Linked DNA regions of Xenopus tropicalis. The protein of the gene in region 3 binds, or shares a complex with, the protein of the main gene of each other region. Links are inferred from orthologs where the notes say so. Each region holds a gene or a part of one and is shown on either strand. Other genes may lie near its edges. The genes, in order: ncaph2, ncaph and smc4.

Region 1 (5,011 bases), on a different chromosome or scaffold from region 3:
TAATAAACTTGGCTGTAGCAAGCAATGCCAGGCAGCAGCTGCAAGGGCAAACAAGGTTTTGAGCTGTATTAAAAGGGGTATAGATTCACGGGAGGAGGGTGTTATTCTTCCCCTTTACAGAGCGCTCCCCTCCCCCATTTTCCCTTACTATGCCCACTACCTCATCTATCCTGTCTACCACAGAATTACCCACTGCACCCTCCCCCCCCCCCACTTCTAGTTTAAAATCTCCTCCAACCCTCTAGCAATCTTCTCCCCCAAAGCAGCTGCCCCATCATCATTGAGGTGGAGCCCATCCCAAAGAGCCTGTAGCCGATTGAGAAATCAGCCCAGTACTCCAGAAACCCAAAGCCCTCCTCCCTGCACCAATCTCTCATCCACGCATTAATCTCCCTAAGCTTAATGTTGCTCGTGGCACAGGTAATATCTCTGAGAAAATTACCTTGGAAGTCCTTGCCCTCAACTTCTCCGTTAGTTTTTTAAAATCATTCTTGAGGACTCCCCCCCCCCCCCCCCCTCCTCTAACTTTGTCTATATGCATGCGGGTGGCGATGTCCCTATGGTGGTAACTATTGATTGTGTTATCCATTGACAATGAATTAAATTAAGACTAATAATTGAGTGCGGCATTGGGGGTAATTCTTCCCTATATCATTTTAGTCTCCAGCTCACGGGTCCCTATATAAAATTATGACACAAATAATAAGCAAAACTTGAAAAGACTATGGCCAATCAATTAGATCTTGTGGCCAAATGCACACTATTTGTCAATTGTTCTGAAAATCTGAATAAATGGTCAGCTTTGGCTAGCTCCCTTGCCAAACTTCAATTGTAGTTGATAAAACTCACGTGTAGAGGAGAACCATTTCATGAAGTCTTGCAGCTTGCAAGGTAGCTTTCGCTTTCTCTTGTTTGAAGAGAGGTCTTCTGCAATACCTCGAGGAAGTGTATAGTGTTTACCTGACAGGATAGGGGAATGGGGTTAAAAGCAGCCAAAAAAGGGTAAACAGTATCCACAAATAATATTTTAAATGCCTGAAAGACAAGAAAACCACTCTTAGACCACCTTTTTTAAATGGCTTTTCTTCACAGGACTCAAAAGGATCCAAACCACACCAGGGGTCAGAAGTTTCATTCTAAAATAATAGAGAAGCACAACAAATTAATGGCACAAATCATCACATCTCTTTAAAGCGCAACTATTGTAAAAATGAAAAGAAAATTATATAACCTTTAACTCATGGAAACACACTTTCTAAAAATAATCAGTATAAATTCTGTGCCACTTTTGTAATAGTCATATTCCCCTATGAGAAATCCTTCTCTTATTCTTTCTTGCAGGAGTTGGAGTCAGATTTTTAAGTTAGGTCTAGTACATCTGAAAACTAACTTGTTTTTTTAGAACATATGCAGGAGTCTCAATTATATTTTGATTGTTTCCATGGGATGAATCTTATATTAAATTTTCATTATCGGAATAATTTCCCTTTAAAGGAAGAAGCACAGGGCCAGCTCTACCTTAATAGCTGAAGCAGGTTTTTGTTCAAGTCTCTCCCGAAGAACGTAGCCTCTCTCTTCCGTCTGCATCTGTGGAAAGCACAAATTAAAATACATAAAGCCAGGGCAATATGAAAACAAAGCATGCGCATTAACAAGTGACTGTCCAATACAATGCACAGAAAAATAGATAAATATAATCACTTTCAACAAATCTATGCAAAGCGAAATCCAAATAGTATGCAGTATGGGCAAAGTCTGCAGAGATTTTAGAAGATTGATTTTTTTTTTTGGGATGGACAGATAGAGAAATAAAAAAGATGCTGAGAGGTGCAGAAATAACTCTGACTTAAGATTGCTGCTGCAGATTTAATCAACAGCTACCTGCACCCCAATCTAAAATTAACTATTTATAAAATGCCAAACATAATTGGCACACCTTTCGCCGCTCAATGTGCTCTGCTTGCTCCACTTCTCCATCACCGGCTTCATCGTGATCATCAAGTGGAAGAAATCCAGCCCCATCACCATTCTCTGCTGCAGGTGCTAAAGAAACAAAATTGACAACATACCTACTAAAACTGAGAGGAAAACACTGGGCTACTCCAGCTCAGCATAAATAAAGGCTTTCAAGTACATGACAGCCCCATCTAGAATATGCTGTTCAGTTTTGGTCTCCAGTGCTCAAACGGGACAAGTCTCCTGCCCCATTTTCCCTTACTATGCCCACTACCTCATCTATCCTGTCTACAACAGAATTAGCCGCTGCACCCAAATTATGCAAATGCATGAAAATTTTTAGACTTACATAGATTTCTTACAAATGAAGCCTCCATGGCTCCTTTGGAGTTTTATTTTTCCTAAGATAGATTAAAGGGTAGTTTCAAAATGTCCTGTTTAGTAGCCATTTATTTGGTCACTTATTTTTGTAGTTTATTACTTTCCATTCTCTTCTGCTCCTTTCCAGCTTTCAAATGGGCATCACTGACCCCAGCAACTCAAAAACTAATGCTCTGTGAGGCTAAAATGATATTGTGGTTACTTTTAATGACTCACCTTTATGCTCTCTCCTATTAGTATTTCAGTCTCTTGTTCAAACTGCTGCCTGGTTGTTAGGGTAAATTAGACCCTAGCAACCAGATAGCTGCTGATATTAAACTGGAGGATTGCTAAATTCATGTGCTTTATTGTACTTATGCTGGCCGTACTTTCTACCTCAACATTACTGCATTAGTAAGGATTCATGCACTACTAAATTAAGACTTTAGCAGGGCTTCATGATAATTGTGTGTGTTAAGTTAAGCAAATATATTCATATCTGAGAGGCCATCAGTCTTCCACCTAGTAGAATACAGCAGCTATAATCTGTATGTATGTGCGAACAGAACCTAGTATTGGTGGCCTACATTTTTTATACTTTATGACAGTAAAGGGCACTTAAAGGAGAAGGAAAGCCTAAGTCACTTGGGGGGGGGGGGGGCAAAATGTTAGGCACCCCCAAGTGACTATAATCGCTTACCTTGTAACCCCGGGCTGGTGCAAGAAAACAGCACCAGCCCGGGGTACCTGTAGCGATGCGCTTCCTCCTTCGTTTAGCTGCGACTATATGATAGGCGCATGCGCAGTAGAGTGAAAAGCCGACTTCTCTGTTAAAGTTCGGCTTTTCACTCTACTGCGCATGCGCGCAGCGATACAGGAAGGAGGAAGCGCTGCAGGTACCCCGGGCTGGTGCTGTTCTCTCTGAACAGGGGCACCAGCTGGGGTAAAAGGTAAGCGATTAAAGTCACTTGGGGGTGCCTAACATTTTGGCACCCCCAAGTGACTTTGCCTTTCCTTCTCCTTTAACATGGGTATTAGAATCCACATTAGAGCTTAAATCTGGGATGATAACTATGTCTTACCTCCTTCATCAGAGAACTGTAGCACCTGCACAGGGTCAGCACAATCTGATTTCTCTGCCTCCATATTATCATTCTCACCTTCTGGGATTGCATTCTGTTCACCTAAGAGACAGAGATTCTGTGAAGAACCGCATTCAAGAAGTACTATGTTCAATCAAAACCATACATTATTATTTTATAACATGTGTCTGAAAACACAGAAGAGGTTAATTTCATATGATAATCTCACCCATGTACTATATGTACTCATCCTCTAGCTGTGCAGACAGACATGAATGGTATTTGACCCCTATTTATCAGCACTTCAATAAGGTTTGTAGAATACAAAGGATTTAGTGTGTACTATCATAAATATGGGCCTGCTGCAATGCAGTTTTCTAGCAGCGGAGGACAGGTGGGGCCTAAAGGTAAAAAGCACTGTAATATAATTATTGTTTCCCAGGGGAGTCTCACATATCTAAATTGCACTGTATGGCAGACTACCATTTACCTCAGTGATCCCAAACCAGTATCTTGTAAGCAACATGTTGATCTCCAACCCCTTGGATGTTCCTCTCAGGAGTTTAGAAAAAAAATGCCTTTGGTCAGCACTGGTGTGCTAGCAGGACAAAAACAGCTAGACTTTGCACAGCATTTTAGAAAACACCCTAATAACTTTTAATGGTCCTGGCCTAAATGCATTTTTTTTTTAAATAGTATAAAAAAAGGTTACAGTATACAAGCGTTCAAGTATTTTTTGTAGTTTCCATTCATTGCTGTTTTACCACTGCCTGAAGCAATGGGATTCTAACAAACATTACTGATCTGAAACAATAATCCTCCACTTTGTACCTTGAGCAAGGCTGGCTTCCTCATGATGCTGGATATGTTGAAGGAACTGCATGGGGGACTTTCCAGCCAGTTCTAGCATAAATGCTCCACTGGGGTGAGGTGTGCACGTGTTCATTCGGAAATCCTTCCTGCTGGCTAAGACCTCCCCTTTACGGCTGTGTAGATAAGAATAAGTTATTTCCAGGCAAGAGCATGCAGAATAATTACATTTTTATAAGCAGCAGCCACCATGCTGCTATTGCACTCTAGTGTAGAACCAGAGGGATACAATATTATTATATATTACTATATATTACAATATATATATATATATATATATATATCATATGCCCCATTCTATCTGTCATAGTCGTGCTATAAGGTGTTTTTGTTTTGATACAGTATATGAACATTGGCTTATTTGCCTATTTTTATGTTACATTTATCCTATATGTCTTTACTCTATAATGTCTGTACTTTTATTTGTAACACCTTTCTATACACTAACCTCTCCTGGGTGGATGTTAGGCTTCTCTCTTTCGCTTTGAGACTATATCAGTAAGCAGCCTGAATCCTCTAATGTATCTAATACATTTTGATGAGACTATGTTGCAAATTTGACATGAGCACCTGGTTACCTTGTTACTTAAAAGCCCTTAGCCTAGCTTTGTTAATGGTTTTCTATATTTCTGTTCTTATGGTGCGGATACAATTTTTCCGCCTACCGCATACTTATTTCGTGCAATATTATTTTTTTTTTCTCAATAATTTACTCCAGCCCTTTTGATTATGCCTTGTGCCTA
Region 2 (5,011 bases), on a different chromosome or scaffold from region 3:
AATTTAAGTGCTTTAAAAATTTGTAAATGTAATGCAGTTGAAAGCAGCTTTTGCTGAACTCCTGGTAGTTACTTTATAAACAATGTTGCAAAGGCCTCATCCCCCTGAGACAGGTCTGTCAAGCTGCTGCCTTGTCTTACATTGTTTCAAAAAGTCACCAGGGCAGAGACTAGAAAAGAACTGGCAAAGACTACATCTAATTGCAATTAATAAAAAACCATTGCAAATTATGTTTTCTTTTATTAGGCAAAAATTATATTTTGGGTTGACTTATCCTTTAACTGCAAATGAACTTATTCAGGGTAGTGGATACACTACATATTTTATGTCAGTTTCCCTCATCAAGTCCTGAAAGGACTTGCATGATGAAAGAAATTTCTGTGGAGTAGTCTGTGGGTAAATTGGACGTAATACAGCTAACATGGCTCCTGAGATTTAATAACACTCTGAAGCATCAATAAGAAAGTTTTAAACAAAAATATGAAGAGACATATGAAAAGATATGTTACAATTATTTTTTCTGAGAGACAATAAGAGCTGGTTTTAATTTATATTGGGAAGAAAGCCACTCATTTAAACGAAACGTACACCCTCAAACCAATGAATGTAAAATTGCTCAGAGCAGGGTTCTACACAGCAAATTGATCTGAAATACTGCCCAGAGTGCCAGTCATGTCAGCAGAACTACCCAAGCAGGCAGCACTGTTATTTAAATCTAATTTTTTAGTGTATCTTGAAATCTAGAAAAAAAATATGTATTACTGTACAAGTGCTTAGAAAAGTGCTCTGAGCAGTGTAACATTAATTTGTTTTTGAGGGTTAACATTTTCTTTAACACTGTATCATCAGGCTTAAACTAGTGAAGCCATTGTTCACCAGCCTAAAACATTTGTTCTGATCTTAACATGACTTGCGTGTATCTTTTAGCGAACAGAATAGCAGCTCTTGGATAATGAATGAATATGTAATTCTAAGCAACTTTTCAACTTACATTCATTCAGAGATTGATGTAACTGTCTTTAACTACATGAAATGATTACTTTATATTCTAATTATCGCCTGATGGCTCTTGGGCTTTCATCAGCTTCTCTTATATATGTGAATTTCATCACTGTAGTTTTAAAGAGTTATGTAAAATGTATTCTGCTATATAAAATAAACAGATAACATTATGCTACCTATTTCCTGGTTGTCTGTGTCCTCAGTTGCCTGAGATTCCTTTCCTAGCCCACCAAGCACTTTGTAGACATCTGCATGAACAGCATCGACTCGCACTGCATATATTTTGGCACTGGCATCCAGAGTCCCAGCTGCAACCTAAAATCAAGTGTCAAAAGCAAAAGGCAAAATGAGCACTGAATGTGTGAAATTTTAATACTAAGCAACAGTTGCATCTGTGAGAGCCAAGTTCACTTACTTTAAAGTTAGTTAATTCGCTGTCTTTATGCTTCAAGATGTCACCCATGTAATCAATCAAATGCAACCCGAAAGCATTCTTAGTTGTTATTTTCTGTGGAAGAACAGTTTTACAAGGTCAAACCAAAGCAACTGAAGACCCAATAGGATAGTTAAGCTACAACATTGCTTACAATAAGATGGCTAAGCACAACCATTACAAAGTATAAAGCAAACAGCCCATGTTATCACAATACTGCTGACAGTAAAGATGATTAAAGGAGAACACATCTAACCATCTGTCCAAAAATAGCCTGCATATACAATATTTCTAATTTATCAGAGACTCTAAACTCAGCCTATGGCCACAAACTATGGGTCTGCCCTTATAGGTCAGCTTTAGACCAACAAGTGCATATTCTAAGGTGCTATAGATATTCTCAAAGTATAATAGAGAAAAAGTTCTGAGAAAGATTTAATATTGCTATAAGTAAAGCGTTAAATGTTTGCGCACCACTGCAGAAAAGAAGTAAAAATTACTTTGACATAGCAGGTCCATGTAAAGAGAAAAACAATTATTTTAACTGTATCATCCCCCAATTTTTCCCTTAATAACGTTAAAAGTAAAATGGTAAATAATTAATACTTCTAATCCTGCGGGAAAAATAAGTCATAAAAGTAAAAGACAGTAAACTGCGTATATTTTTACAAAGCAATTAACTAGAACAGTATTTCAGGAGAGACTTTTTCAGATTAAATTAGTAAAATGCTCACATTCTCCTGAGACAGCTTAATGCAGGTGGAATAATGATCTGAAATCTGCGTGTTGCTTAATTTGGGCAGTAGAGATGTTGGAGTATCTATTCCCCTGCTAAAAAAAACAAAAAAAAAAATAACACATTTATATTATGACATGAACATGTTTCTTTTTTGTAGAATTTCAACAAATACATAACCAATAATTGTCCAGGAATGTCTTTAATACAAGAGTTTTGTCTTTTACTACCACTTGAATGTGTGGAATTATTTTAAAAGGGGCTGTTCACCTTTGAGTTTAGTTTAAGTATGATGTTGACAACAGAGACAACTTGCAACTGGTCTTTATTTTTTATTTGTGTTTTTTTTTTTAAAATTATTCACTTTTTGATCAGAAGCGGTCTGGTTTGGAATTTTAGCAGTTATACTGTTGCTAGGGTCCAAATTCCCAGGGAGTGGTTTGAATTAGAGACTGGTATATAAATTCTTTAGTGATTTTAGAACTAGCCATACACACTCCTTCATTCAACACTAGAAACAACTTGGCACCCCCAGTGATTTTAACCTTTCTTTTAGGGATGCACCGAATCAAGAATTCTGTTCAGTATTCAGCCAGGGTTCAGCCTTTTTCGGATTCGGCTGAATCATATTTGATTCCAAAAAAATCACATGACTTTTTGTCATGTTAACACGGAAGCATATGCTAATTAGGATTCGGTTAGATACCATTGCTTGTTTTATTTCTGTTCTGAGACATAAGCATAAAGTCTCAGCATGTTAAGAAGGAAATGGAATAAAAACATACATATACAGAGCTTATATTCTGAAATGACAAGTGTGCCAACTTAGTTGAAACTGTCCAGCTTTGTATACAATAAACTACATTCCCTGCAGTAGCACTAATTTACTCCTAGGGGTTGGTGAGAACATTAGCTTCCTAAGGCAATATGGATATAGTCAATTTTTTTAATTTAAATTTTCTGTTCTAAGGCTCATGGGCCTCACATCTGGATTGGTAGCTGGTTACCAAGGTATAATTACCCCAGGCAGCAGTTTGAATGTCAGAATGGGAACTATAGAGCCTGAACAAAAAATAATCAATAAAAAAATAAGAACAACAATAAAATTGAGTGACCCAACAACTAGCTGGCGTTTTTATTTGCAGACTGTTAATAAACAGAATAGGAAGGCTAATAAAACACAAAAAAACGACCATATGAAAAGTAGCTTAGAATAGGTCCGTCTATAACAGTGATCCCCAACCACTGGCTCGTGGGCAACATATTGCTCACCACCCCCTTTAATGTTGCTCTCAGCGGCCTCAGAGTAGGTGCCCATTTTTACATTTCTGGCTTGGAGGCAAGTTTTGGAAGCACAGAGACACAGTTTTACTCCAAGCAGAGCCTCCTCCAGGCTAGCATTCCCCATGGGGCTACCATATAGCCAATCACAGTGGCATCCCCAAAGAACTTTTTTTCATGCTTGTGTGGCTCATTAACAATTTTTACATCTGAGTGTGGCTCACTAACAATTTTTACATCTGAGTGTGGCTCACTAACAATTTTTACATCTGAGTGTGGCTCACTAACAATTTTTACATCTGAGTGTGGCTCACTAACAATTTTTACATCTGAGTGTGGCTCACGAGTAAAAAAAAGTTAATGTACCACTATAACACTTCAGCTGAAAGAGTTTATTTTTTTGCCCCTTAAAGCAGACACACAAACTAGATAACTGGTCAATTACCTTTGAGCTGGTGAAATGGCAGATGCAGGGGAATCAGCATTGCTAAGCTGCAGGTCAATGACCCTGGACATACGCCGAAGTTTCCTTTCCCGTTCATCATCATTGCTAGTAAAGTTCTGCAGAGTGGGAGTACCAGCCGCACTGACGGGCTGAGGCCTAGTGGCTGGGGACAGAAAAGCACTGTCTGGGGTTGCTGGCTTTCTGCGCACTCCTGACTGAGGAGTTGATGTACTCATTTTGTCTTATCTAGAAAATACAAAGAATTACAAGCTACAACTTATACAGAGATTTTGTTGTTTTGACAAATATCAGCCTTCCTTACATATACAGAATGTATCCTTTTACAAGCACACAGAATACCCGACAAATGTAATGGCAATATAGCATTTTGCTTGTAATTAGATGTTTAACTGGGCATTGCAAAGATCTCTTATTGTCATTAGTGTCTTTAACTAACAGTGTTTGCATTTTCGCTCAGTTAAATTGCACTTCAATGCCTATACAGGTCAACAAAGATGTGCCCAACGTATTGTAATGCATACAATGAAGCCTGGAGAGATCTTGGCTCCTGCAGACACACATTGTAGGTTTCTTTTTTTTAGTGCCACCACAGGTAGGCAGGGTCTTGCTCTGATCAGCTAACTGTACTTCACACTCTGCTATAATCCTAACCCTTGGGGTGAAGACACACAGAACTACTTATTAGCAGCTACTTGTCACGGCTACTAAACGCCAGAAAATACCCCGTCATAGAAAATACTGAGAATTGCCTATGCTAAAACACACATAGAGACAGTTATCAGTATATGATCAGCATTGTCTGTTTCTGTAGCCATGACAAGTAACTGCTTCTAGTAACTCTGTGTGTCTTTACCCCTTAAAGGAACAGTAACACCAAGGGGAAGATATATTAAAATGTGAGTTTACAGCTTAAAGGAACAGTAACACTAAAAAATGAAAGAGCTTTAAAGTAATAAAAATATAATGCACTGTTGCCCTGCATTGGCAAAACTGGTGTGTTTGCTACAGTAACACTACTATAATTTATATAATAAGCTGCTGTGTAGCCACGGGGGCAGCGATTCAAGCTGGAAAAAAGGAGAAAAGGCACAGG
Region 3 (4,066 bases):
TCTTCCAGCTTTTCTTTGGAGGTCTCACACTGGTTAGAGGAAACACAACAGAAGGCTGAATTGCATGCATGAAATGTTGACGTTTTACAGGGGTGGTTGGCTGCTGCACTTGCAGATACTGCCTAACAAAGGAATTAGGGATGTGTCATTGGGTTTCATGTAAAGTGACACTATGCGTGAGCAGTGATTCTGTGGAAAATAACCTGTAATGGCCTGTTTATTGAAACCTGCTGCCACATATTGTTTATACAAGGCCAATTATATTGTGTATGGGAACTTTCACAGCTACATATTGCACTGTGCATACTACATAGACTGCATAGCTTTTACCCATGGGCCATGAATGGGTTTTTGGGGAAGAAGGAGAAGCTTTGCTATTCCTCATTTGCCAGCCAGTGACAACACTGCTCCTTCAAACAGGGCTCCCCATTGGCCTTCTGAATACTGACAGCTGCAAAGAAATATTTCTGCTCTGAAGCAGCAAGCTGACTGATACAAGAGGCACAGGAGCAGTGCTAACCCAAATTTCTATAAAAGGAAAATCATCTATTGCAACTCTAGATATCAAATAAATGGTGCTTGTGCCACTGTGATATAGATGGGGGATTTAACTTGATGGGATCTATTGTATGCTGGTATTGAGTAAATATTTTAAAAGCACATCAGTCTGTATCAGACTAAGGGGTACATTTATCATGCTGTGTAAAAAGTCCCAAGGGCAAGCAATCAGCAATTAGATTTCATTTATTAGAAAACCAAAGCATCCGATTAGCTGCTATGAGCAACATAACCGGTAATGTTTTACTCCACTATTTACATTTAGGGGTATATTTATCTTGGTATGTAGTCTCCTGCAGAAATTTAGCTTGACTTGACTGGAAAATGAAGTGATGCATATGCATTCCCACTGGCAATTTACTTTATCGCTGGAAGGAATGCATTTTGGGGGGGGATTAGTCGCCCACATTAACTGAGATTTAACCACGGTGCTATTGCTCTTACTGGCACTTACATGGTTAAGGTAATTAGAATAGAATCTTATAGCCTGACTCTGCCCTTTCTATTCTATTTTAATTAAGCTTAAACAGGTCTACAGCAAAGGATAAGGATGTAAATATTTATTCATTAGCACAAAGTATATTATAGATGGTTAACTTCTTACCAACCTAAACATTATGCCTTCTGAAAACGGGTCTAGACTGTCTACTAATTCCAGCTCAGCATCTCCTCCCAGTGTCAGCATTTGGTAATTTTCTTTCAACTTATTTGTAATGATATTAAAGCCAGCCATGAATTCATTCAGCCTTTGTTTACGAAGATCTTCATATGCACGCCTAAAATTGTCCCTTTCATTGGTGATTTCATCAAGTTCAGCCACTCGTTGGAGATAGAGTTCCTCCTATTTAACAGTATATTGAAGTAAGGGAGAAGAGTTAGAGCTCAGAATTTAAATGGAGCATAAGAAACAGAGTTATCATCAAGTTAACATCTGGTTCAATTAGCACGTTTCACTAAAAACTAATTAGTTAACAGGCTTGCTTTAAATGCTATTTCTAGTTATATTCAAAGGATGTTCTAGTTTGTTGACTTTACTTGAGGCACATATACAGAACGCATATTCCCCATTAGTGCAGATTTCACACAGTTTAGAGAACATGGTCCTATTATTTTGAAAACATCTAGCAGTGTTAGTTATTATTTGGAATATATCACCTACACATGCAGTGAAGCCAGTCTGTAGGACTGCAATGTGATTGTAATATAAGGATTATAGCAATCTTTTGCACTGCACGGTCAACTAGTTATTTAGCCGATTCCAGCTCTGACTAAAGGACAATGGGCCCTTTTTTAATTAGCTTACCAGCAAGCCTTTCCTGCAGCTTCCTCCAGCAAAAGATTAATACGTTTGTATAAGCAAGCAAACAATGCAAACTTTGGTGCTTAGTATTGGTGAAGTCACAAAATACAGTTATCCAGTGATACTGAGAGCAAATTAAGTTAAGCCTCCCGCAATGTGCAGGCTACAACAGGGTCATTACTGGCTACACCAAAAATGATTTTTATAACTCATTCCTTGTGCCACTTTGTACACTATACAGGGATGCAGCACAAAAGGGCTAAAGTGTTAAGAAGAGATGCAGACATATGTTTTATAAACACATTAGGCAAGACCCTTTAAAAGTCTCCCTGGCTGAATAAACAATTTACTTCAGCATACTGGGCTTTTACCTGCCCTCAAGCCTGATATTACTGGTGCAAGGTGGTGTATGAAGTGATATACAAAAGTCAATATTATATATATCCTTTGAGAAAGGTTGGAATACCAGCCGAAACGTCAGTCTTTGTTAGTGCTTCAGGCTGCCAAAAAAACCAAAAACAAAACAAAAAAAAAAACCAACTCTAAAATGTACACAGATTGCAACAATTGCATTACTTTTTTCTTATACTCTGCTATAGCTCCAAGGTTTGGCTTCATCTCATGACTTTTTGCTTCCAAAAGTGCAATCTGGTTTATTATTTGATCAGGGTCTTTAATTGCTTCCAATTCCTCTTGTGCTAATACAGCAAGAACTTCCTCTGGATTGTCTTCAATTCTATGGAGACTTATTTTAGTTATCTGCACAAAATAAGTAAAAAGGATCATGTAACACAATGTACACAAGCTGAAACATTGTTGGATAGAGACAGAAAAACATCTGAAACCAAAAAAAGAAAGGGTAACATTACCTCTTTTTGCCAGTACTTAATTTTTGACTGATGTTCTGCTATGTGACTCTCTATCTGCTCAATGTTAAGTCTGATGTTAAGTGCTTCCTTCTGAAGGGCATGTTCCTTTTCCTGAATGGCTTTGATTTCTTGAAGCAAGTTGCGATGTTGTTCCTGAACCTCTGGGAGGGAGCCCTGAAAATACAAGAACAGAAGTGCTTTAACTTTCCCTTTCCTAATTATTGTACAGAATGGTGAAGTCTTGTTTTAGAACCAATTATTAATAGTAAAGGCAATCTATGCTTTCAGTACCTCAGCTTCTTTGCACTCATTCATTACTGCCGTTGCTTTCTCCTCCAGTTGTTTCAAGTCTTCAGTTAGCTCCTCTATAGTTTTATCATTCTCTACAATTTCCTTTTCAGTGCGTGCAACTGCCTCCTCTGACTTTTTAAGGTTTCTAGAGGAACATATGCATTTTCATTTAAAAACAACATGTCTTTCACAGTGCATTAAATACATGAAGTACAACAATCAACCTATTATTTGGCAAAGCCTCTCAATGACAAATTTATTGAACATTGATGAGCACTTTTAGTCTATGGAGTTTATTTGAGACAGTGCCCATTTGATTCCTAAGCTTGGTTTTAGCTTAAAGGACAAGTACAGCCCACACTTTCCTACAATGTGTATCAGTTGGGAACATTTTCCTCAACCAATTGGCATAATTTGTACTGCATATACCCCTACCTTTGCCAGCACTATCACTTTTTCCTAAAGCAAATAGAAGCTCTTACATGACACATGATCAGTTACATTTAAATCTGCAAACAGTATGCACACACACACAAATTTCATCAAGAATGCAGGCTCACACAGGTAGAACGGTCTTTGATAAAAAGTTCTGCTTTGTTTGAGCACTGTAATGATTAAGCTGAGCTGAGGAAAAGAGGTTAGGAGAAAAGAACAGGATATCTTCATTGGCTGCTAGAATGGAGGGTGTGTTATCTGAACTGAGAAAACGGAGCATGCCCAGGAGTAAACAGCCAATGCAAATTCCTAAGGGAAGGGGGTTACAGGAGGAGAAGGAAATCTTAAGGTCCCCATACACGGGCCGACTATAGCTGCCGATATCGGTCCCTTGGACCGATTTGGCAGCTAATCGGCCCGAGTATGGGCAGAACAGAGCTGCCTGGCCTGAAATTGGCCAGGTTAGAAAATCCGGTCGGATCGGGGACCGCATCGGCTCGTTGATGCGGTCCCCGAACCGACTGCCCCATAAGCTCAAATGTAATCCGATCGTTTGGCCCCAGGGCCAAACGATCGGATTATTTTTTTTTTAGTCCCTTGCTACCAGATATCG

What was found.
Region 1: the proteins of smc4 (region 3) and ncaph2 are in contact, whole or in part, in a cryo-EM structure (PDB 9F5W), measured with the Homo sapiens proteins. The link is inferred for Xenopus tropicalis from reciprocal best matches to the Homo sapiens genes SMC4 and NCAPH2. Residues at the interface, in NP_001002800.1 of Homo sapiens: Ile100, Leu101, Gly102, Pro103, Ile112, Gly113, Pro114, Ser117, Gln1151, Met1152, Leu1155, Phe1227, Lys1228, Ser1231, Ile1232, Phe1235, Tyr1236, Glu1239, Gln1240, Asn1253, Asn1254, Phe1256, Glu1257, Arg1261, Gly1264, Ile1265, Tyr1266, Lys1267, Thr1268, Tyr1269; in NP_689512.2 of Homo sapiens: Arg494, Ile495, Trp498, Glu499, Thr501, Val502, Leu505, Leu506, Gln509, Glu510, His512, Phe547, Cys550, Arg551, Met553, Leu554, Leu557, Gln558, Ala560, Asn561, Tyr563, Val565, Glu566, Ile567, Gln569, Leu573, Glu574, Ala576, Val577, Asp578.
Region 2: smc4 (region 3) and ncaph share a complex: the UniProt entries of both Homo sapiens proteins name them as parts of the condensin complex. The link is inferred for Xenopus tropicalis from reciprocal best matches to the Homo sapiens genes SMC4 and NCAPH.

What each region holds. Positions count from the first base shown.
Region 1 is NC_030679.2:89,417,647-89,422,657, reverse strand, and holds part of ncaph2 (condensin-2 complex subunit H2), read right to left. Parts: intron 4,385-5,011; coding exon 4,230-4,384; intron 3,501-4,229; coding exon 3,399-3,500; intron 2,044-3,398; coding exon 1,937-2,043; intron 1,588-1,936; coding exon 1,519-1,587; intron 1,137-1,518; coding exon 1,067-1,136; intron 961-1,066; coding exon 850-960; intron 1-849. UniProt on the Homo sapiens protein: Regulatory subunit of the condensin-2 complex, a complex that seems to provide chromosomes with an additional level of organization and rigidity and in establishing mitotic chromosome architecture.
Region 2 is NC_030679.2:125,116,623-125,121,633, reverse strand, and holds part of ncaph (condensin complex subunit 2), read right to left. Parts: intron 4,144-5,011; 5' UTR 4,134-4,143; coding exon 3,898-4,133; intron 2,267-3,897; coding exon 2,170-2,266; intron 1,511-2,169; coding exon 1,418-1,510; intron 1,318-1,417; coding exon 1,179-1,317; intron 1-1,178. UniProt on the Homo sapiens protein: Regulatory subunit of the condensin complex, a complex required for conversion of interphase chromatin into mitotic-like condense chromosomes.
Region 3 is NC_030681.2:114,765,760-114,769,825, forward strand, and holds part of smc4 (structural maintenance of chromosomes protein 4), read right to left. Parts: intron 3,164-4,066; coding exon 3,019-3,163; intron 2,902-3,018; coding exon 2,728-2,901; intron 2,618-2,727; coding exon 2,435-2,617; intron 1,400-2,434; coding exon 1,167-1,399; intron 30-1,166; coding exon 1-29. UniProt on the Homo sapiens protein: Central component of the condensin complex, a complex required for conversion of interphase chromatin into mitotic-like condense chromosomes.